Styela clava: one gene and its partner. The protein of the gene in region 1 binds, or shares a complex with, the protein of each later gene. Links are inferred from orthologs where the notes say so. Each region holds a gene or a part of one and is shown on either strand. Other genes may lie near its edges.

Region 1 (11,959 bases):
AAGTTGATAGACTGTAGGGCAAAATTAAAAGAGGAAGGATATTTGCGGGCCAAGAGAAGGAAGCGCACACAAGATGCAGGTAAAATTGAATTGTTATGGATCGTGCTTGAACTGTAATAATGACATTACAATTAGTATTATAGTGTTGAACTATTTCATTTAAGTTTGGCGGGCCATATGAAATCGGTACATGGGTCGCAATTTGCCCAGAGGCTGCGGTTTCGGAACCACTGATCTAAAACAACATCCAGCATGACATTTTTGGGACAAGTGCGTAAACACCTTTGGGGTAAATAATACATAGAGGAAGATTCTTTTAAAATTTGAAACTAGAATTCGGTTGGAAACCGAAGATTTATCGATCGAAGGTTAGGGGATCCCCCAATACATAGTCTTCCTCCATAGTAAAACCGTGTGTCCCATCACTAATTAATTCAAAACTCGTTAATTATTCGACATAATCCATCCAAAATCAATAGGCCTCTGATCCGAGCTAAGATGAATGCACATGCAAAATTTGGAGCAGATTAAACCTCGCTTTCGTGAGATATCGCGTGTATCTAACACACAGACAGACAAATACCTATCAACATACTTACCGATCAAGATCGATAAGTAACAATTTAAATACAATTAAACCTTGTTGCATACAATACACTAATGTCATACATAAATAACATTTTTTACTTGTACTATTCTCTTTAATAAGATGTAGAGCACTGATTGCGTATTTCTTTCTCAATTCAACAGAATGTCCTCCTTCCAATGGTACAATGAAGTGTGAATCTTGTAGCCTGTGAACGACAAATGTATCTTGTGCATTACTTAATTGAATACAAGAGGGGCTCATTTATCTTTTACATTAAATGTGAAAATCACTAAAAGTGTAACTGGAATTTAGTAAAATGCAATTCTATAATTCTACTTCTACTATAATGATTTATAGCCCCAGTAGCTCTTGACACTTTAATGATCGTTCTTCGCTAACAGATAGGATTTACATATTCATCCCGGGGAAGAGGATAGCTGAAAGGACGGCTTAATCATATGGCGAACCATGGCCGGTTATCAGTCCATGTCGGGTATGGGATTAGTTGGCCAGTTATTAGTTTTCGGAAGCATGGACTTGATGAGGGAACCACCCTACAGCGGTGAGGAGTCCAACAATCCTCTCGCACATAAATATCCCTGTATGGGATTCGAATCTGGGAATTCGAAACCCATGTGGGGTAATCAGGTGCGGCCGTATTCCTAACGCTTAGTATGATGCGTCACACCGCCGAGCCTATCTCTATATACGGATAATGGTGCGATGTTCCTAATGCTTTTTTCTATAACAAGTTTGCACAAAGCAAGGACCCAAGTGCTTGATAAAAAATTTGAAAAATACCAACAAAAGGTTAACGCAATGTGTAAAGCATCCAGCCAGTGAGTGGGGGATTTTTTCTTACCGTCGCTCGCTCAAGTTTGCATAGAGAGAAATATGTATACCTTTCATTCTCCTTATGCAACTTTAAACTTTGTTCCAAAAATTTCAACGAGTTTGCAAAAGATTTTGACACGCGCTTGTTAGAAACATCTTCAGCTATTGTGTCTCCATCAGCTAATACTTCGAAAATATCAGGGGTCAAAGTTGAAATTAATTGCAAATGTTTTTCAACGTCCAGAGCGATCCTACCTTTGTTTCCCCAAATTGAAACTGCCTGTAAAAGAAAAAATTGAAAAGGAACTACTAATACCAAAATTATTTCATATTACAATCAAAGCAGACATAAGTGGAAAGGCAGTTTGATACAACTTTTGAATAAAACCATTGTTAAAGAATATATTGAATTCGAAATCGGGCCTTATAACTTGCATAAACCATTGACTGGCAAGTTCACATCAGGCATATAAATTCTATCATATTCATATACACCCAGTTGCTCGATCGCTGTAATTTAACTTGCCAACAAAATTAATAAAAAGAACATCTCTGGGGGAATATTTCTGCATAACGAGTAAGTTCAATATCGAAATTTAGATTTAATATTGACAGAGTAATTTAATGTTTTGATATTATGATCAACATAATAGCAACAGAAATCCAAAACGAACCATCCTATACCATAATTTTATCGCCTTTTCTGCATAACGAAATTTCTAAATCATTGGATATACATTATCTACATTATCCATATTCTGCATGTTCTCGGCCTTGTTCTGCAATGTGTGCCCTCCCAAATCAATGAGTAAAATTGTCACAAAGTCAGTGACAGCTGCTGTAGAAGACTCATCTGATCCGATAACTTGACTTTAAGCTGATTCATGTTCACTATGTTCAGGGTTGCCATAACGTCCCTATTTCTAAGATTAGTCCTTATTTTGAGGGCTTATGTCTCAGAAAATATTTTTGTCCTTGTTTAAAAGAAACGTCCTTATTTTGACATGTGTCCTAAATCTTATTTTAGGGGTAGATGTTCTTATATCGTGTTTTTAGATTGGTTAATTCGAATGATTCATCTGCTAGAAATGATATCAGAACCTCATTGATTTCTACATGCATTCATGACATAATAACAGCAAATTAATTAACCACAAGGTCAAAACAATACCCTACCGGCAAAGATCAGTTCATGTAACTTGAACCAAAATACAGTAGAGAATCTAATTTTAATCTAATTTAATTCTACAAGTGGAAGTGAACTCGGAAGTGAGATGGAACAGATAGTTTCTAAGAGTAAAGAACTGCTGGGAGGAATTCTTTCTAGTGCAAAGTATGATTAGACACGGGTGGCACTGGCATGAATACATTTCGTTTATTACATTGCGTTCTTTGTTATCTTATTATTACGCCTCCTCGATGTCCTTATTTTTGGGTTCATATTGATGGCAGCCCTGACTATTATACAAGCATACTATCTTGAAACCCCTAATGGTGGCTATGGGTATTTATTTGAGCTTTACCAGATCTTTGAAGCCATTAGTTAGTAGGACTCTACCACCTTTGCAAAGAGGAATAAAATTACCTGATATATATTACCTGACTTCAGTTTTTTGTAATGACGAGCAACAATATCAATCGCATTCAAGAGACAAAAGTTTGTATTCTACAGTATGAAAAGCAAATAAAAATAGCCAACCTATGATTGAATTACCTTTGTTGTATTTTGCACAGCATCTGGTTTGTTGCGAGTCTTCAGGGATAAAAGTGGGTCTTGGGTTGATACATACAGAAGAGAAGATTTTGACAATCTCATCAATTCACCACTCCATCCAGCATAGGATGAAAATATTGATTCATGATCAATGACTGACTGTACAGGAACCTAAATTGTATTGATAAATAAATTATTATTTTAATGTTTAACTTAATTCTAAGTTATGCTCGTCTCCCTAGTATCTCTGCATTCTGTTTGTCCCTTTACTTTTTATGTTGTTTTGATTTACGTCGGAGAATCAACATAAGAATTGAATGATTATGCCCAATGACTTTCAGGTAGGATTTTCATATTTATTTCAAGGAGATAAAGGATGGAGAATCATATGTAAAACCACAGCCTTTCGTTAGGTTACTTCGACCAAGTCGAGTATGGGCGTATTCAACTTAACAGTTAATTGTTTAAGATGTATTAACTTGGATGGTGCAGGAAGCTACGGGGTTATGTGAACAACCCTGCGATGATGAGTAGTTCAGCAACGGTCTTACTACTTACTGAATACAGCGCGAAACACCGCAAAGAGCGCAAAACAGCGCAAAACAGAGGGAAACAGCGCAAAACAGTGTGGAAACAGCGCAAAACAGCGCGAAAGAGCGCAAAACAGAGGGAAACAGTGTGAAGCAGAAAAAAACTTTGCAATGAGTTCGGGGCACCTTGTTTTGAGTTGGAGTACCACGGCAGCAAATTAAAAACACAAACCAACGTATGTAGCCAGTAATGCTGTAATGGCAGGTCTGCCCCTGCTGGTGACAAATTTTGGGTACCATAATTTAGGACATTTTCCATAAGGATATGGTTGGCTTCAGGGTTAGGGTTAGGTAAAAAGGGACCTCCAGAAGTATGTGCACCAAGATGGCGCACAACCTGAAAATAGTATGTGTGTGTGTGTGTAGCGGATTCAGGTTGTGCGACATATTGCTGCACATACCTCTGGAGCACCAAAAAGGTAGATAAAATTTCGCATGATGACCTATAATCCGGTACATAACCTTGTAAATATGCCGGAAATAGCCGTGGTTCTTTCGTGACAGGAGGTGGTAATGACTGCGTCTCCTGTTTCCCTCTGTTTTGCGCTGGTTTCCTTCTGTTTCGCGCTGTTTTCCTCTGTTTCGCGCTATTTTGCGATGTTTTGCGCTCTTTGCGGTGTTTCGCGCTGTATTCAGTAAGTAGTAAGACCCGTTCAGCAATCCTGTAGCCAGCTGGCACAATTTCATTCTTCATGGGATCCTGCAAACCCGAACAGGTTAATTTGCGGTGCAATGTTAAACGTATTCCAAACACTTAGAAAAATTTTAATGTAACTGACAGAAACCTTTTATGAAAAATTATCTTAACATGTTAGGATAAGGATATGATAGGATTTACATATTTATCCCGGGGGAGAGGAAAGCCGATAAGACGGCTTATCCATATGGCGAACCACGGCCTCTCGTCCGGTTACCATTCCAAGTCGGGTATGGGATTAGTTATATATTGTTTGTTTTCGGAAGCATGGACTTGGTGGTGGAGGAAGCCGTAACCGACCAGCGGTTACGTGAACCACCCAACGACGGCGAGGAGTCCAGCAATCCTCTCGCACATAACCATCCCTGCATGGGATTCGAACCTGCGAACCCACGCAGAGTAATCAGAGGTGCGGTGGCGAGCGTATTCCTAACGCTTAGCCCGTTGAGCCACACCGCCGCGCTGTTTTGCTGGGCCAAGCCTCACCTCTGTAACATCAGGATGCAAATGCACTGGAATGTAGGAATAAGTTTCACGAGATAGATTTGGCACAGTACCACAATTTGTTGATAGCATACACGTTGGAAAGAGAGTTTTCTTTTTAACCTAAAACAAAGGAGTATGGGTGAAAATATTTGTACTGCTAGCCAGACTTTATATAAACTTCAGAAATCTGTAAATTGGAATGATCAAGTTATTCTCACCCCGTTTCTTTCGTTGCAAAAAGTCCCATGTCTAATACCTTTGACTGTCACAATATCAGTCTTCATACTGTGAAATGACCGTATCGTTTTATAGTAGGCGAGGCAATACCTAAGCGAACGCCTGTTTTCAGTTAACCGTGAACCTACCACATGCGTTCATCATGGAAATCGATAAACGAATTTCATATTGATTTGTTCCTCTTAACTTTGAATAAAAAATTGTTACTCACACAGTGCGCTGTGTTTCGGCATATTACACTAAGCGCAACAAATGATATGACATTCGGTAATATTATTGAGTTGTTTACTACGTGTTGCGTTCGTTATTGTGTCTTCGGCTCGGTTAGTGAAAGGAAAGACTGTTCAGGTGCGGGTGTTTGGCCGCAATTTTCAGAAGTTTTGAGATGTTTATAAAAAGTAATGGCTGCCGAATCTGATGATGAAAATGAGGGACGTACTTGTAGTCCAGAATTGAAGCGATCCAACATTTTGATACTTCAAAATATTGGAGTATGTTTGTTTACTTTTTATTGCATCTATTTCGCAATGTCTGCTTTGATGCACGGAGTGTTTCATGTTGAATCAACATTTGATGGACGTCAGCCATTCAATTTTGTAGCCATGTCAAACCTGGACTTTTCCACTGGCTCAGTAGAAAGCGTTGGTAAGTATAGAAAATAGAAGTAGGTATAAAAGGTTGAGACTGGTAATTTAAAACCTACCTCCAGACTTCTGAACTTTTACAATTAAATTCTTTTCAGCTTGTTTCCTTGCTATGGAGCTGACATATTTTTGCACCACTCTTTTGATATCATTCTACCTTTTGTCTCGTGTTTGGGATTATGCAATAACAATCACCTTTGTGCACCTAATCCTCAGTTGTGCAGGTAACTTTTAATCATATTTTGCATTCTGTTTGTTGTGTGCATTTAGTTTTCAGACTGGTAGCCGGACGAGTGGCTATATTATCATCTTTCTTCTCCCCCAAGATGAATATGTAAATCATTATTTTCTGACATATTGAGAAGTGTAATTTTTCAAAAGTAGATGCGACTTATTATTTAGTCCAGTTATAGTTCTATTGAAAATGAAGGTGGTCCAACACAAAGACATGTAGATTATCTTCTTTATTCTTAAATATTGCAGTAATGATGGCATTACCAACAACATGGCAATGGTGGTGTTCAATTGGAATTGGCACATTATGGATGATAACAATGGGTGAATGTATTTCCTTTTTCCTACGACGAAAAAAGGCAAGAAGAGCTATTGGGAATTCTCTAGTTCTGCCTAGTAGTAATAATGATAATAAATCGTAAAGTTCAGTGTTAAAATTCTTTGTATCTATAACTGTGTATAATATAGTTTTATCAAACTATCACAAGTTTCCTTCAGTACTGCTGTATTTATAAAGTGCCCAGAAGCTTTTTTAATATGCTGCTACCAATTATATGTAACAATCATCTAAAATTTAGTTATTTTCCCAAAAAATTACCTATTGAACGATGATTTATTCTGATCTGGTCAGTGAATATTACACGAGACTTTAACCCAGAGGTGTGCAACCTGCGGCCCAAATGCAGCCCACAAGGAAAACTTGTACGGCCCGCCTAGAAGTGCCATTTTGATTGGTGTGCGGCCCACGAAACAACTTTTTAATTTAATCTGGTAATTCCAATCTCTTTGCGTTGCAATGCCAGTCAAAGTACGGCCAGGGGTTTCATCCAGTTATTTGTATCTGGCCCTTGTGTATTGGAGGTTGCACACCCCTGCTTTAACCCATTCAAAAATCCATCTGCGGGATCAAAAATTAAACTTCGCTCCCATTATGAAATATAAATTTATCAGTCATATCACTGTGACTGCTTTATATTATTTTATTATGTGTCTCAACTTTAAAGCCTTAACATTTTGACAATACAATCATATGAAACTGTACTGCCAAGTAATTGCTTTAATTCATAAAGTGCTATTTTCTTGCCTCAATATCATTCCTATTTCAATTTCTGTGTTCTTGCCATTACCTATATTTACGAGTGGACATTGTTAACTGTGACTGAAATTGCACGTTTTATATTTTTTAGTTTGTGTTATTGTAAAAAGATGTTAATAAAATAAAGAGTACCTAATTTTGAGAAGTGTCCAGCTATAACAATATAGGCAAGTTGACGTTAGTTGTGCAGAAGTCACACTCAAAATCAGTTATGCGGTGAATATGGTTTTGTACAATTAACATCTAGTGTTCGAACAGAGAAGAAAACCATAACAATTTTGAATTTCCTGCCATATTAAAAACTATGCGAGACTTTTTCTAATGGACATTATCCATAATTTCGCAGCTATCCTGCCATATTAAAAACTACCCTCCAAGAATAAATATGAGAGACATTTTCTAATGGACATTATCCATATTTCGAAATATTAATTCAGCGATGTAACGCATACGTTTAGGTGATTGAGTAGGCTTTGTGATAAATCTATCTTTCACACAGCGCATCATAAAATCGAATCTACGCTTTATGCGTTCCCATCTCAAGTGAAAGATATAACCAACAACTACAGTGAATCAAGCATTCAACTATAATTTGTACAAGGCACTTGTTAAAATTTTCAACGAAAATCACAAATTTTAATCTGTTGCTGCTATATTTACTCATCAGTACACAAAATATAGAAACAGTGAATTAAAAAAAATGTTACAGCAATATTGCATTTACCCACATATCAGGACTTGAAGAAGGAAGCGTACGATAATAATAAAAACGCGTTTTTTTACAGCTGGAAGAAAAATAACAAAACTGTCACATAAAGGTAGGCACTGTATGTAGAACTTATCCTGGCAATAATATGGATGATATGATCTAATGCTAATAAAAATATTCCAATAACCGCTCACTTTAAAAAAAAAACGGAAAAAGCATCATGGAATCTCACTGTTCTGAATAACTGCATTTACCAATTTATATGCTGTAAGAATGAAAGTTTTGACAAATAGAAATACCACAGCCAGAAAATATGACATGCCAAGTTTTACCTATACAGTGGCAATTAAACCTAAAGAATGGAATTATTATATTTAAAAAAGAACGACCAGTTACTGCTGCATTAAAATGGTTTTGTACCGAAAAAAAAGATGGAACGTGCATACTATTAAAATGTATAGAAGCTGGTGCAATTTATAAAAAGAGGTACGAGTTGTTAGCTTATGCTAATAATATTTTAAATATGAAATTGCACAATTTTATGTTGTAACATGCCGTGTGAATTAGCTTATAATATTTAAAAAATGAATAAAACACAGAATCTCGCAATATGGTGAATATAAAGCTAGTCCTTTTTGTAAAATGGATATCCGTTACCGCACATGATGAATCATTTTTCAATATTTAAAGGAAAAATTGTTTTTGCATCGCAACAACAACAATATAAACATTAACAACAAAAACTTAGCAAAACAATTTGACAATTCCTCTTATGGTCTTCGGCCTTTTCGATTTGTAAATCATAACCAGATATCAACTATTTAGGTTAAGATGTATATGACCACTATAGCAGTCTATTATCACTTGCATGAAAAAATTGCATAGCAAATGCTTTTAAAGATAGTGTAATAGAAAGTAAATCACAGAGTTGGGACTCCATTTGAATATCATAACTACTCTTAATAAGCTTCATTAAGATACTGCGGACAAAATATGTGGCAACATAAAAATTACATATTATCATTGATGGCTTCATCTTCAGTGGCATTTTCTATACGAACTTCAGGTATATTGTGGGAACTAACTTGTCCGAATATTTCATCTTCATCGTCAGATAATACTAAACCTAGAAATAAGAGTATATATAATGACTGTCATTTACTCGGAAGTTAGATTCATCCACAAACAGATAATGTCAACAACATCTAAACATAGTGCCAAGGTAGAAAAGCAAACAAAGCCTGGAATAAAATTGAAGTAATGAAAAGAGTTTTTTTCAATATAGCAGCGTTTTTTTCAATATAGCAGAAAATAATGGAATTTTAAAGAAAAATGAAATTGACATTGTGGAGAATGGTCAGCTTTCAACCACGGACCACATTCACACCAGGATACACATTTTTATGGACTCAAAATCAAAACTTATACATATTAATTATACAAAAATTAGCTTATATTAGCATTATGGTAAAAATAGCAATTCCTTTACCTCTATAAAGCTATACTAATTAAAATATTGGTTTTTAATGTACAGGCATAAAATAAATAAGCAGAATTCGAGTGTCTATAAAGTTCTCGGCTTAATGTATGAAATGTACTGATAAGAGAATAAAATTATTGGTTTTGACATCTAGGATCAGTAATTTGAATACATATAACAATTTTTTAATCTTTCAAACACCACCATTTGAATATGAGTTTTATATACCGTAGCTAACAAATTACCATGAGTAGTTGAATCAAATTCACAATCTTCTAATCCTGCTCTATAATGAAGTAAAAGTAATGCCAGTGCTTGCAATCTCTCATCTGATTTCAAAATTTTCTTATTCAATTTATCCCATTGAGGTGTAGTGTTCCCCGCCTGCTTTTGTTCCTAAAAATCAAATATATAAATTCAAGTGTTTTAAAATAAAGAAATTTTAAATTTGATAATATGTTTTACCTGTATTAGCCTTTCTTTCTCTTCAATTTCACTGTGCAATTCATTTTCAACTTTTTGTGTTTGGCTTTCTAGCATTGCTTTACGTTGTGACAAAGGTAAATCTCTGTGTAGATCTCTAAAAAATGAGGCTCCATTATATTCTAATTTTGCCACTATCATGTAATAATGTACCGTACTTTGTCCAAAAAAGTCCAATTCATTTTTTGAGTACCATATTTTACAGACCATGAGATGCACAGTCAATAAAGTGCTCAGATTGTATTTTTATTCGTACATAAGGCGCATCGAGCCATAGGAGTCGATAGGACACCGCGTTTTTTAAAGCAATAGCGGTACTAGTGTGAACCTACCTTCCCATTTGCTTAGCGTTGACAGCCAGCAAATGTTCAGATTCTTTAGTGCGAGAAAAAGCTCTTGGACGAGAGCCAGGAACCCTCATGCCAGAATTTTCAACATTTGAATTGACATCTTTTGATTCAGGTGACATCGTCATGTCTAATATTTTATTTCGGAAGGATAAAGCCTTTGTTGGTAGACCTTTTTCTGCTGTGAAGGCAATACAGTTATATAAATACAATTGTGTATGTTAACCATATGCTAAAAATCACCTTATTCCCTCGAGTCAATGTATATCAAAGACTACGAGAATGACTTGAGCCACCTCTAAATGAAATAATTGAGACTTGTCATCCATCAACCGACCACCAGTAGTGAGACTTAACACAGTGATTGACTCTCTTTTTGATTTAAGATGACCTGTGACTTGGCTTGCATATCTACTTGGGGTTTCGAGATTTTTACCCAGGTCCGGCCCCTACACCACCATTGTTTCATTTTACACTTGCTTGAGTCACTAAACTACCTTCTCATGCACACTATATCTAACAACATAAAAAAGTGCACAATTACAACAATCCAAAACAGATAATTATCAAAAAAATCTCCTTTTTATGTGAGTTGTGACAGGAAGCAAAAAAAAATTACAAATCGAAAGTTACAGCTTAAAAGATTTAAAATCTTTGTGAACACACATACACACATTAGGTGAAGCCTTACCTCGTCTTTAAAGAACCCAGCAAAAATTTAATTTCAAAGGTGATTAGAAACAGAAAAATTTTGTGCAACAAAACCGATTTTAAGTTTGTTTAATCGAGTAATTAGAAGTTTGTGAGTGAATATTTTTATTGAATCAGATTCTAAATTAAAATATTGGCATACACGACGTAGCGTGACTTGAATCTTTAAGACTAGCAACAGCATTTCGAATTCATAGCCTAGGTAAACAAGGTGGAATGCTTTGGCTTAATCAAGCCTAAAAAATTGTTTTTTTTATCCAATGTGGTGGTGACATGTTAACTGGTGGTGACACTGGATTTATAACCTTTTGAGTTATGAAATTGTTTTTTCAAGATTTCAAAACAAATTAAAATCTTGTTAACTTGAACACTAACTCAATCTTGCAAAATTATAGTAAAAATAACAACTAAATCAATGCCATGGAGGTAAAAAACAAATGCTTCCTATGCAACAGCTAGACCAGTGGTTCTCAACCTTTTACGGCTCGTAGCCCCTTCCGGCGCCTTCTTGCTCTCGCGAACCCCCTGTACGTCATTCCAAAAACTAAACGTGTTGGATCGTATGATGTTTTACGACATTTTATGGAATGCAAAAACAACCCACAGACAAGAAAGGCCAAGCTTTTTATTATACGATCAATGGGAATCTTGCGCTTGTCTGACGAGGTTCCTGATATTAGGCACAGTCTTTGATATAGCAAGACAAATATCACTGTCAACCTTGAGACGGTTTTGATGCTACCAAGATCAGAAAAACCAGATTCGCACAAATAGATTTGTAACAAATTGAACAAGCAGAACTGATGTCAACGTCTTTCACCTGCGCATAATTTTTGTCACTTCACTTCGGTATGTTCTGGGTGTGTCTGCTGCAAGTGACGCTTAAGCTTTGATGGCTTCGTTGCTAAGAACAGCATAACATAAAAGGCATTGCGGTTTTTCCTTGCCACTCTCTCACACTGAGGGGTACTTAAGTTTTAGTAAGCAACACAAATTTCTTTGTTACACATTGGATGTAGAACAACTAGATACTTCGCTTCAAATAAGAACGTGACCAGTGACTACATGCCCTCGAAATCACTGTAGCTGCGTTCTCGTATTTATCATT
Region 2 (12,342 bases), on another chromosome or scaffold:
TCTCTTTTGGTAATTTTGAGCCTTATTTGTCCATTTTTAGATGTGTTTTTAGAGGTCAAAGGTCAGGGAAACGTCCATAGCTATAAGTTTGGTATGGTTTTCTGAAATGAGGTAATCTGTTCTTGGTGAGCTCGATACAAAATAAAACCTGTTAAAAGTTAGGGTCCCATCACTGAGTATAATGTAGTGTTCAAAATATCATGTCTGCTTCGTCTTAACTGCCACGATTAAACATACAGGACTGGTATTTGTGCAAACAAATGGGTGCCCTGTCATCCTTAGTTTAGTTATGTGGCTTAGAACAGATTTCGCCAGGTGAGAAACACTATACATGCTGTATAAGTAACAATGAAACACATAGGCATATCTAATAACTCGTTCCCATATTTTAAGCTTGAAAAAGTCTGGGCTTCAATGGGAGCGGTGCAGCTCTGATCAAAATCTTGCTTGGTGGACTAATAAGGATGGGCAACATGGAACAATTTACTGTTCTAGAATAGTTAAATTGAATCCAGAATACCAAATCATATTCTATTTTCATGACTGGGTTCAAGTTACCTTCTCCTACAATGTGTTACTGATGTCCCAGCTTACGGATAAATATTCTGGAAATTTTTCAAACCTTCATGATTGAAATTTCAGGAAATGGATACATTGTGTACCCCAAAGCAAAACTTACGGATTAACTATTTGACCTGAAGGGCACTCCATTGTATTACTATAATTTATATAAAAGCCGGCACTATGCTTCTTTTCGCATTCTTCTTACCCACAGGATAGCAATAAGAATGATTCCTTCTGATGCGTAAGATCTTGAGAGGTCCCATTCATATTTAATGAACAAAAAAGAATTGGCTATTGTCTATGATTGCATAATATTAAAAAAATATTTATTTTTTTAATTTAACACCAACAGATTCTAAAGCATCACAAGCCCATGCAGGAAAATTAGATTGATCTTCAAACAATTCTAAAAACCTTTCTTTAATAAAGTCTGGGAATCTATCTAAGCTAATAGCTTCCCTGACAGCTGCCATTAGATCAGCCTGGTATTTTACATTATGAATAGATACCATACTGCAGGCGCTTGGGTTATTATTCTTAAATAGCATATGAAGATACGCTCGGCTGTAATCTCGACAAGTGGAGCATTCACAGTTTTTATCGATGGGTTCAAAATCTTTTGAAAATTCGACACGCTTCAAATTTATTTGTCCTTTCCGTACTAGAGCTACACCAAATCTAGCAGTCCTCGTTGGAAAAACACAATCGAACATATCACAACCTAAAGCAGAGCATACGATTAGGTCAGCAGCGTAGCCGACACCCATTAAATATCTGGGCTTATTATCAGGCAGTCCATCTGTGCTTACAGTCACCATCCTCCAAAAGTCGTCTTTGCATTCACCGCCACTCAAACCCCCGACAGCAAATCCATGAACATCTCTTGAAGTCATTTCTTTCAGACAATCCTTCCTTAACTCTTCATCCAATCCACCTTGAATTATAGGGAATAAATTTTGTTCTGTCTGTCTTTTGTGGGCTGCAATGCATCTATCGAGCCATCTGATTGATCTTTTTGTAGCCAAACGAAATCGGTCCTGATCTGTTTCAGTGCTGCTCACCTGGAATATTGAAAATTATATTTTTATCAAACAATTACACAGAAAATACCATACATGAAATCAACCACGGGCATTAATTTGAACATCCTGGGTCAGAAATGGCTAAATATAATCTAAACTATATTTTTTTAAATGAGCAGTAGTTATGTGAACCATCATAAAATGTTCGACAATCCTCATACATAACGGCCTCCAAGGGATTCAAACCTCTAACCCCATGAAACACAACCAGTGCACAATGATAAACTTATATCTATTATGCTATCGAAGAATCAGTCATCCAGCTGAGACATTGGTTGAAATTGACCAACCATGTATGACTTGTGTACAGAGACTAAAACCAGAATAGTGGTGCAATATAAAAGTTTATGGGCAGTTACATAAATATTGTCCATAATCCTTCTAACATAATAAACGAGAATATCGGTTGGAAACCGAAGACTTATCGATCGATAGTTAGGGGATCCCCCAAAACAGAAACTGCAGTTTCGATTCATCAGCTCTTGTAACTTGCGCACTGCGCATCGCACACACACACTCGGCGGGTTTCAAAATTCTCTCGCTTTACAAAAATCTAGATCACTATATCAATAATTGATTGATAACTCGCTAATTATACGACATAATTCGCCCAAAATCAATAGGGATCTGGTACGAGATAAAATGAATGCACATGCAAAATCTGGAGCAGATTCAATCTCGCTTTCGTGAGATATCGCGTGCATCTAACAGACACACAGACACACAGACAGACATACATACATACAGACAAATACCTATCAATATACTTACCGATCTTAAGATCGATAAGTAATTAGCAAAATAGCACTATTAGGTATTTCAAGCTCACCACATCATCCAGTTGCATCATGATATCAGCCCCAATAGCATTCTGTATTTCCATTGATTTCTCAGGTGATAACATCATTTCAGTTTCATTGTGTGGATGAATGAACTTCACTCCTTCTTCAGAAAATTCTGCCAATTTAACAAGTGACACCATCTAAAAAAGATAATGCCCATTTGTTACAATTTCTAAATCGATAGTTTTAATTGATATTGTTGTAGGTTCTCATTAAAAAAGTCCACGGAAATAGATAAAACCATTATAGTAAAACAGGTAATCAGGTTCGAGGGTGGTCCAAGACGAATTGGATACATTCAAAATGGGTATATATACAATTTAGAAAATTTTCTATAATAAATAAATAAAAAGAAAATAAGAAAAATATAATTTCATTTGTATAAATTTAGAACAATGAAAATAACCCATATTAGAATACATAAAATATAGTAAATTAAAAGGTTATGGCCAGACACAAACTTTTGTCAATATACCTGAAAACCTCCACTATCAGTAAGGAGGGAGCGATCCCAGGACATAAAGTTGTGCAATCCTCCAGCTTTTTTTAATATTTCTTCCCCTGGTTTGTTTCCAAGATGATAAGTATTACCAAGCATGATTCGTATATCGAGATTTTCTAGCTGCTTTGGCGTGATTCCCTGACAAATTGGGAAAATTTATAAATGAGTGAAATAACAGGTTTGGCCGTAAAAATAAAGGTTTAGTAAATTAACAAAACTCATTTATTGACTATCAATATCACTCTTAAATTTGATGAATTGAAATACTACACCGTTACAATCTATTAATCAGAATAAGTTGACAAAACATATTTTAATTGGAGACATCAAAAAATTTCAGCTAAAATTGTAGCTAACAAAAAAAATATCTTTCTAAATTCCATGATACCTCTACCGTTTTTAGCATTTTCTCTCAACTTGAGGTATTTGAACATATTGGGCTTGAGTGAGTGGGAGCTTGATCTCATATCGAGCAAAATCTCATAGGAGCACAAAGTATCGTCAATCAACAAAGAAATTAATAGTAAAGCTGGACAGTTGGCGCATAGTACAAATCCTTAGGAATACCATCCACACTGCATCTCTAATTACCTTGCCAGTTAGCATCCCTTGGACAGATATCGGCAAAGAGATTGCTATGCTGATCACTTACTGATAAAGTTCAACTGGTTAAAGTTTCACATACCCAGCATGTATTGGGAAACATATGAAAAGAGGTAGTTTGACATAATATGATTGATAAATATAAAAACACTATTATACTTCCTAGTATGAACAAATCCTATATTTGAGTGATATAAATACCTTCAAAGTTCCCTGTGTTCCAACTGGCATGAATACTGGGGTATCAACGATACTATGAGGTAACTTCAACTTTCCAACACGAGCTTTTGTTGTGCTACACTTCGCAACAATCTCCATGCTGAAAAGTTTGGTATATACAGATATATTTAATTTCTGGTTTAATATTCGGCCTGGGTGTGCTCAGTGGAGTAGGAGAATTACCAGACCAGAGTTACCCAGCCTAAACATGTGCTGCATGCAAGGGCTTGAAGAACTTTTATACTCAATGTAAAGCTATCAACAAAAACTTGTTTGTGCTGGGGTCACTCTGGTGTATAATGGTATGTATAACTTTGGCATCTGAATTTTGCCATTTAAGCATACGCCTATCATGTTTCTGTATTTACAGATTTAACTTTGAGACAGGAAATAACTTATCCCCGTATAGTGCCGTGTCTTTTGTTAATAACAAGGTAATACTGTACCGTACAGCAGTAGTATGCTTATCAATCACTCAGTCAATTGTACTTTATACTGTTATAAGGTTGCACATACATCCATAGATAAAAATAGGCCTACGCATGAAATAGAATATATCGACTTACCTAAGAGTTGATGATGTATACGACAAATTCGATTGAGCCATCATATAGTATTCGTGTATCAGAACAACGTAGTTTCTTTACAGCTTTATGAATGAATATACTGTAATTCCACGCTATTCAAACAGAGAAGCTTTGCCGCGTCGTACACAGACGAACTGATGACGTCAATCGCGTGCCTGTCGGGCATTATCAGGTCTGGAAAGGCGCAAGGTTGATCCATAAACTAATTCAGCAGGGCTGAAACCCAAATCTTAGGATAGGATAGGATTTTACATATTTATCCCGGGGGATAGGAAAGCCGATAAGACGGTTTATCCATATGGCGAACCACGGCCTCTCGTCCGGTTACCATTCCAAGTTGGGTATGGGATTAGTTATATTGTTTGTTTTCAGAAGCATGGATTTGGTGGTGGAGGAAGCCGTAACCGACCAGCGGTTACGTGAACCACCCAAATCTTCTTTAACGACTGATCGAATACCAAGTAAAACAAATCCCAAATTCGGAAACCAGTCAGATGGGTGATCGCAAGCTCTAAGAGAAGCTTTAACAGTTCGATTAAGGCGCTCGACCAAAGAATTTTCTTGAGGCCGATATGGTGCTGTCAATATATGTTTTGAGCCAAGAAACGCCATGAAGTCTTTCCAAGTTGTTGAAGTAAATTGCGGTCCATTTTATGTATTAACAGTACTGAGAGCACCAAAGTGGCTGTTATAATTATTAGTTAAGGCGTGTACGATTGTATTAGTTAAACTGTCTTTCAATGGTACACAAATTGGATATCTTGTATATCTGTCAATTATCATGAGCAAATTAATTTTTATTAACTACCAGTATGTAATTTTTCATGTTCCCTTTACTTAATAACTTCTATATGGTTGTGTGTGTGGGTGCGTGTGAGCGTGTGTGAAATATTTCAATTATTTTAGGTGAGTGAACACGTACCACATGTTCTTGGCAAAACCTTCCATCTTATATACATTCTGTACGTTTTAAACCTTATCTAAGGTTTTGTTCGCTCTCCTGATTTCATAATCAGTTTTTATTTATTTATTTTAGCATTCATTTTATTGTTTTGCTGATTATGGAGTCGAAATAAACTTATACTTATTATACTTAAATAAACATAACCATGAGATTGAGGGAGTGGTCCGAGTAAGTCTACATTGATAGTGCTAAAACGTTCATCTGGAACTTTAATGTTTTTCAATTCTGATCGTATGTGTCGTTGAACTTTTGCTTTCTGGCATCGTATACAGTACACTCATGAACAAATTTACGAATGTCTTTATTCATATTCGGCCAAACATATCTGTCTCTAATAAGCTGTTGGGTTCCTGATATTCCTGGGTGACACAAACTATGAGTTAGGTTGATAATGCGTTGACGTAACGAAGTTGGAATATATGTTCGTGGTTTTCCAGCGAGGCTGATGTCGCAAATTATATTTCCCGCTAATTCGGGTACTGGTGATGCTATTAATTGTAGAGAATGCTTGCTGGCGTTCTTCAGAAGTTGCTTGAGCTCGTGGTCATTTTGTTGGGCGTTGTAGATGTCAATCAAAGGGATAATTTCCTGTTGGGGAACAACGGCGTTTATGGCACCATTCTCTGTGGGGTGAAATTCAATACGGCTTAATGTGTCGGCCGCGATATTCAATGCACCGGCAATGTGTTTTACTGTGAAATCAAAAGTTGATATGTATTCAAGCTGACGGGCTTCCCGTTGGACTTTGGACTCTTTCGGACTTTGAATGGCCTGCACCAGGCTTTTGGAGTCGGAGATTAATTGAAATTTCCTGCCTGTCAATTCATGTCGAAATATTTGATGGATTCAAAAATAGCCAAAAGTTCTTTGCCAAACGTCGAATAAGTTTTCTGAGGGCCACGGAGGGCTCTTGAGAACATCCCCAGAGGTCTCCATTGATTATGTTCAAACATTTGTAAAACGCCTGATATTCCAATGTCAGAAGCGTCAGTAATTAAAGAAATAGGTGATTGGTGATTTGGGTGAACCAATAACGTAGCATTGGCTAAAGCATGTTTAATGTCATCGAAAGATTTCAAAGATTCATCATTCCATTTGATACGGGAACGTTTACTAGGTTTTCCAATTGTCATCTCATTTAAAGGTCGTATAATAGTAGCAAAATTCTTTACAAAACGATTATAATAGGTACAAAGGCCAATAAAAGATCTCAATTCTTTCAATGTATTCGGTTGAGGATAATTTTGCAAAACTTCCACCTTATCGGCTAAGGGCTGTATTCCTTCGGGCGTGACATGATGGCCCAAAAATTTAATTTCTGATTTGTGAAAATGGCAATTATCTGTATTTATAGTCAGTCCATATTTGTGTGAGCGTTCGAGAACTCGATCTAGTGTTCTGAAATGCTCGTCTTCTGTTTTGGTTGCAATAAGGATATCGTCGAAAATTACAAATATATTTTCAATGTTCGCTAAAACTTCTGTCATGAAATAATTGAAGGTCGCTGGGGCAGGTGCCAATCCGAAACAAAGGGTTTTAAACATGTACATCTTGTTGTTGCAGGATACGGCTGTTTTTGGTTGATACGAATCCAAGATAGGAATATGATTATAAGCTTTTGTGAGATCAAGTGTAGTGAAATGACGGCAGCCATGCAATTTATTGACAAAATCGTATAAATGGGGTACGGAATTTTCTTTTCCTTGATCGTAATTGAATTCAAAAGTCTGAAATCGAGGCACAGCCTAATAGAGTTAGAACCACGCTTTGGGACGATTGTAACTGGAGAATTATAGACGGAATTACATGGAACAATGTCTCTTAAGGCTAACAAAGTTTTAATTTCTTGTTCAACAGCAGCTTGTGAATATGAAATGGAAGCGTACTTTTTTGCTTCTAACTCCTACCTGAAAAAGATATACTTAATACAAAGACAGTGTCTAAGAATATGCTGCGGCGCTATGAAAAGTACCTTCATTTTAAGTATACTAGCAGCTACGGGGGAATTACCTTTACATATCCGACATCTGCAGCTATGTCTTAATTATAAATGGAACCACATCTCTATAAATGATCGTCCTCTGAAATATATAATTGAAGAATCTTGGCAGGAATACTTTCCCGATTCACCTTTTTTCAAAACATTTAACATGTTGACAAGTTCGGATATTTTTAAAAATTTGGAAGTATCGAGATATCCCGTGTAGAGATGTACCGATACAACTTTTGTCGCCGATACCGATACCTGCTAAAAACGCCGATGCCGATACTACAAAAGGCCGATATTACCGATATTCCGATACCGATACTATGTAATTATTAATTGATTAGGTGTACTGTGTAAGACAGACAGGTTAAAACAATGGTCTTTGAGCGTTGTTCATAGTTCACATTATTTCAGATCGAATAAAAAGATATGTCACATAATATGAAATTAATGTTTGGTATCCATAATACTTCAACTGATTAAGATACATTGTACAGTAACGCTAGTAATCTTGGTGTTCAATTAGAAAACTCATAAGCCGGGATATCCAATTTGAATTTAATGTCAATATCGACCTTCGAATATCGTTATTCGTGTTTAAAAGAATATCGAATATCACCCACACATTCTAGCGCCGCCGCCCTACGTTCAAATTAAAAGCATTTTACAAATATTTTATTTTGTGGCTAATCGTAATCGTCGACGCAATAAGTCAAAGCCAACATGAGAGAATATCAATCAGCACCGACAAAAAAAAAGACCTACCTATAACCGTCGGGGATGTTTTTTTACTTTAGTAGTGTAGTTGAACAAAATTAAAATTAATACCTGCGTAGAGGGATAATTGTGTCGGAATATAGTTTATCGATGTCGACGGAATAAATGACACTTGTACTTGACGACAAACAGTCAGAATTTATACCCGTGCCAAAAGTCCATGTGCCGTTAATAAGGACCCCAATTCCACTGTATGTTTAAAACTGAGCGCCTAGTTGCTTTTTGTTATGTGCTGTGTTGATATATTTCTTCATGATTACTATGTAATATTGAAAATGTCAATATAAAAATTTGACAGCGAAAATAGTCACATTAGTTGAGCTAGTTTGGCTGATAAATAGCTAAAAACACGTGAATCCTATTCTCTCGCGGGGTGGGGACATGTATGTCATAACTCACGATCTCTTCAGACAAAAAATAAATTAAGAAGTAGTATTCCAACTTATCTTTAAAAACATTCTGGACCATATCAGAAAGTTAAAGAGTTATTAATTAATTAGTGATAGGACACAAGGTGTCACTATAAAGTAAGAGCGCTGTTTTGGGGAATCCCCTAACTTTCGATCGATAAGTCACCGGTCTCTGACCGATATTCTCGTATTCAATCTTGCTTTGAACATTATACATATATATGTTTACACGGACAGATCCAAAACAGATGAAGGAGTTGGCTGTTCTTTTTACGTGCTACAGAGGGAAACTACCATGTCCTTTTCATTACCACTAAACCAAACGTCATACACTGCTGAACTTTATGCTATAAGTATGGCAATGGAATGGATAAACATAAATCGCACTTCCTCCGTACTGATTTCTCCGGATTGTCTTGATGCTCCTAAAAGTATCGAATGTTTCAATAGTTCATCTCACCATCTGGTTGAACGAATAATTTATATACTTAATAATTCTAGGTCTACTCTGCCTTTCCTTCTCCATGCGGAAATCATATTCGTGGGGTTTATGATTTATTTATATATAACCCAGTTATACATCTATGATCATTTACACAAAGCGATTAAGTAAAAAAAACTCCCCCCGGCCCAGATGTTGTTTTTGTCCTACAAACTCCTCTGTACAAACAGTTTCGTATACTCCACCCTTACCTCTGTTATCACACACACTCACCCTCCTTGCACTGCCTGTATAAAGGACAATATTATACGTATTTGATTTACCGTATTATAATTTATAAATATCAAAAGGGGTGTATGCCGCACATTCGTGTTTTAGGCCAGTATGGTCTTGTGCATACATCCTGTCTTCAGTATTTATAATAATAAACATACATACATAGCATAGCTAAATTTCGAATCAAGGTCCCGCTTGAAAAAACCCAGTATTTTATTAATGGGTTCACAAAATATAACTTGTATCAAAATCATATATCAGCAATAGGAAAACAATGAAAACTCCAAGAAATGCAATTTTATGTTCTGTGAACAAATTTCTTATATATACCTAAATATTATTCCAGACCCTGAGCATATATTTTATAAATATCAGAAATATTGTTTTGAATTGATATGTTATTATTACAATATGTATAATATATATATTACAATACACATTACGATTGCAGCAATGGTAGTAATAGCCTATTTTAAACCGGAAAGATAAATGTTTCTCACACCAGTTATAATACACGCGACCAAAGTCCAAATTATTACTTTAGAACGATTAATTTTCATGTAGATATTTTTACTAAGGAAACCCACTGTGGAGATCGGTGTACAACGACAAAATACTTGAGGAAATGTTAGTAGAAGTCTTGATTACGAAGGGTGATAGAATCATGCATTCGATACTAAGGACAAGTCCAGTCAAATCAAGCGACGATGCGAAATATGACAATCTTTTAGGTATAGCTTGGCTTAATACAATGGTTTAACGCACTTAGGTAAGGTACAAAAAGAGAAGTACGTATTTCCGTGTATTCCAATTTATTGTATTCTAGCAGTCTGTATCACATTTATAATAGGACGTTAAGCGCGTAGCAATCTTCTTGTTGCCTGTCTCGTCCCGGGGTCAGTGCAAGGGTGTAAATAGAAGTATAAATCTTGTAATGTTAAATATTTACTGATTTAGTATCAATATACCTACCGCGGCAACTTGAATAACAATTAAAGAGAAAGGATGTATTTACCCATTCAAAACTCACGCCTTATAAAGGAGCATAAAATCACAATTCATTATCATCGTGGCGTGGTTTATACGTCTGGATTCGATGCACGCAAACACACATTTACGTCGATTCGCTTGCCAATAGTGAAGGAATGTGCGGATAAGGCGTGGCCCTCATTTGGCTCATTCTAAAAATGACCGAACAAACTTTACTTAGCACTCGAATAATGGAACCTCCTTTTCTTAGCCTTGTTTGTTTTATGGGAGTAGCCGTAACGTAGCGGAGGAAACGCGTCGATCGAGAACAGGTTGTTTTCGAACGTGTATATTGATATTTTGCGGCATTTTCGCATCGGAATAGTAGATACAGAGAATTGTAGTTGTTAAATAATGGTTCCGCGACATTCGTTACTTCCGTTGGATCGAAAAAGAGAAAACAGTAGCTGCAGAAACATGGGGAAATTCAGCACGCAAGTTGAAATGATTGTGTACAGGTATGACAAGAAATTGATATTTTATCGTTAAATTTTTCCTTGAGTGAACCTAGACAGGTTAGAAAGGTAATTTCATGTTTTTCTCTATAGCCTATGCTTGGACCTATGGAAAGTTCCTATTACAGTTACAGTATAAATTCTAATACAGTGCTGTTATAAATGCTTGAAGGCGATATTGCGTAACCAATGGGTCTATTTTGCGCTCAGTAGTAAAGAAAACTCATCTCGGAGCACAGACGACCACTTAGATATCGAAAGCTTCTGAAACCGCTATGTTGAAGCGTAAATAGCTCACAACCAACTGATCTACTACCTGTATTTGACATGTGTTTCAGTCTTTGATAATAATAGGCCACAAATAATTTACGTCTAAAACCAAATATGCTTGAAAATTCTTCAGCAACAATGGACATCCAGTCGTGTTCATATATATCTTGATTACAGTGCTGAAATCTCATTTTTAATGCGATCTGAAGGTTATTTTCTGCCATGCAGCAATCGGAAAATAAACGGACAGAGTAAATAGCACTGATTATCGTTTTAAGTAGTCGCCATATTCTCATACAAAACGATATTTTGGAATGATGCCTTAAAACAGTTGCCACGCTTGAGAAACTCGGACCAAAATACAAGCAATTTCAAAAAATATCGCCACAAAACAACTTTGAAAAATTTGACCAGATCACGGCTTGGATACAACGATTGCAAATAGTCTTTCACTATCGCTTAAATGCTTTGTATTACATGAATTACCTGGTTACCGGAAATGGTTTCATTTTAGGTTTATACTCAGTCTGGTAGTTGGATTCTTCCTCGGTTCGTATGTGATCACAAATCATGAAGTGTCCGTTGTACAGAAACTTGGTAAACTTGTGTGCCAAGGTCCACAGATTCATCGATTTGTCAAGTATAACCAGGACGCTGCACAGCACCACCAACAGCGTCAACCTAGGCTGGATAGAGAGAATGGACTGTTGTATATTGGTAATTTGAACGTTTTTTTCTTCTTGATTACACCATGGGGATGATCATTTGCCGAGGCAAACTATAGCGATGTTGAACGTAACGTTAAAGTTGAATGTCGCGACTGAAAGTATACCGTTAGTTTAACGTAGGGTCTACTGTGCCGACTACAAATGCGTGTAACGGGTAGCAGCCAGCAGGTGCAACACACATAATCTAGGATTAATAATTACATGCCACCCCAGAGAATAATGAATATGGATGTTTTTTAGACCCTTGACGGCTTTTCCCCAGAAAAAATCTTCCTATACTTTACAATTTTGATGCTTATTTTAACCACGTTTTCGCGAGTCAAGGCTTTAAAACTTGTTTACTGGTTTTATGATTTGACTCAGCAACCTGCTATTTAAAAGTATTGATAGTTGATTTTAGCCTGGTCTATCAAAGCTTATTGGGGACTAATAGGTGATCATTGCACCTCAACTGAAACTCTTCAAAAGACGAAATTACCTTTGAGGTATTTGATTTATGTCTGAATTTCGCAAACATAACTAAAAAATAACAAAGAACTATAGCAAATCCACGAAAAAGAGCTCATGTTTACAATCAAGCCTGAGAATCTGTCTATGTTAAAAAG

The links.
Region 2: the proteins of queuine tRNA-ribosyltransferase accessory subunit 2-like (region 1) and queuine tRNA-ribosyltransferase catalytic subunit 1-like are in contact, whole or in part, in a crystal structure (PDB 7OVS), measured with the Mus musculus proteins. The link is inferred for Styela clava from reciprocal best matches to the Homo sapiens genes QTRT2 and QTRT1. Residues at the interface, in NP_001343258.1 of Mus musculus: Arg39, Thr40, Gly41, Ser42, Ala43, Pro44, His45, Leu46, Thr47, His48, Gln49, Thr50, Asn53, Glu70, His71, Glu73, Val74, Glu77, Tyr78, Phe85, Ile86, Gly87, Phe119, Gln342, Glu343, Phe345, Tyr355, Asn359, His360, Ala363; in NP_068688.2 of Mus musculus: Thr50, Thr53, Met54, Lys55, Gly56, Ile57, Thr58, Thr59, Glu60, Gln61, Ser64, Arg80, Pro81, Leu85, Lys88, Ala89, Phe95, Met96, Asn97, Ala307, Lys308, Phe310, Pro320, Thr324, His325, Ala328, Phe329, Ala332, Leu333, His335.

The regions. Positions count from the first base shown.
Region 1 is NC_135264.1:9,668,245-9,680,203, forward strand, and holds the start of queuine tRNA-ribosyltransferase accessory subunit 2-like, read right to left. Parts: upstream 5,285-11,959; 5' UTR 5,195-5,284; coding exon 5,129-5,194; intron 5,031-5,128; coding exon 4,911-5,030; intron 3,309-4,910; coding exon 3,138-3,308; intron 1,704-3,137; coding exon 1,492-1,703; intron 795-1,491; coding exon 688-794; intron 1-687. Other genes in the region: putative transmembrane protein 244, read left to right, coding at 5,549-5,792, 5,890-6,015, 6,275-6,447; PDZ domain-containing protein 8-like, read right to left, coding at 8,841-8,956, 9,556-9,706, 9,776-9,890, 10,126-10,321. UniProt on the Homo sapiens protein: Non-catalytic subunit of the queuine tRNA-ribosyltransferase (TGT) that catalyzes the base-exchange of a guanine (G) residue with queuine (Q) at position 34 (anticodon wobble position) in tRNAs with GU(N) anticodons (tRNA-Asp, -Asn, -His and -Tyr), resulting in the hypermodified nucleoside queuosine (7-(((4,5-cis-dihydroxy-2-cyclopenten-1-yl)amino)methyl)-7-deazaguanosine).
Region 2 is NC_135263.1:5,980,833-5,993,174, forward strand, and holds queuine tRNA-ribosyltransferase catalytic subunit 1-like, read right to left. Parts: upstream 4,566-12,342; 5' UTR 4,423-4,565; coding exon 4,379-4,422; intron 3,913-4,378; coding exon 3,795-3,912; intron 3,129-3,794; coding exon 2,964-3,128; intron 2,629-2,963; coding exon 2,476-2,628; intron 1,626-2,475; coding exon 891-1,625; 3' UTR 852-890; downstream 1-851. Other genes in the region: chondroitin sulfate synthase 1-like, read left to right, coding at 10,639-10,742, 11,524-11,726.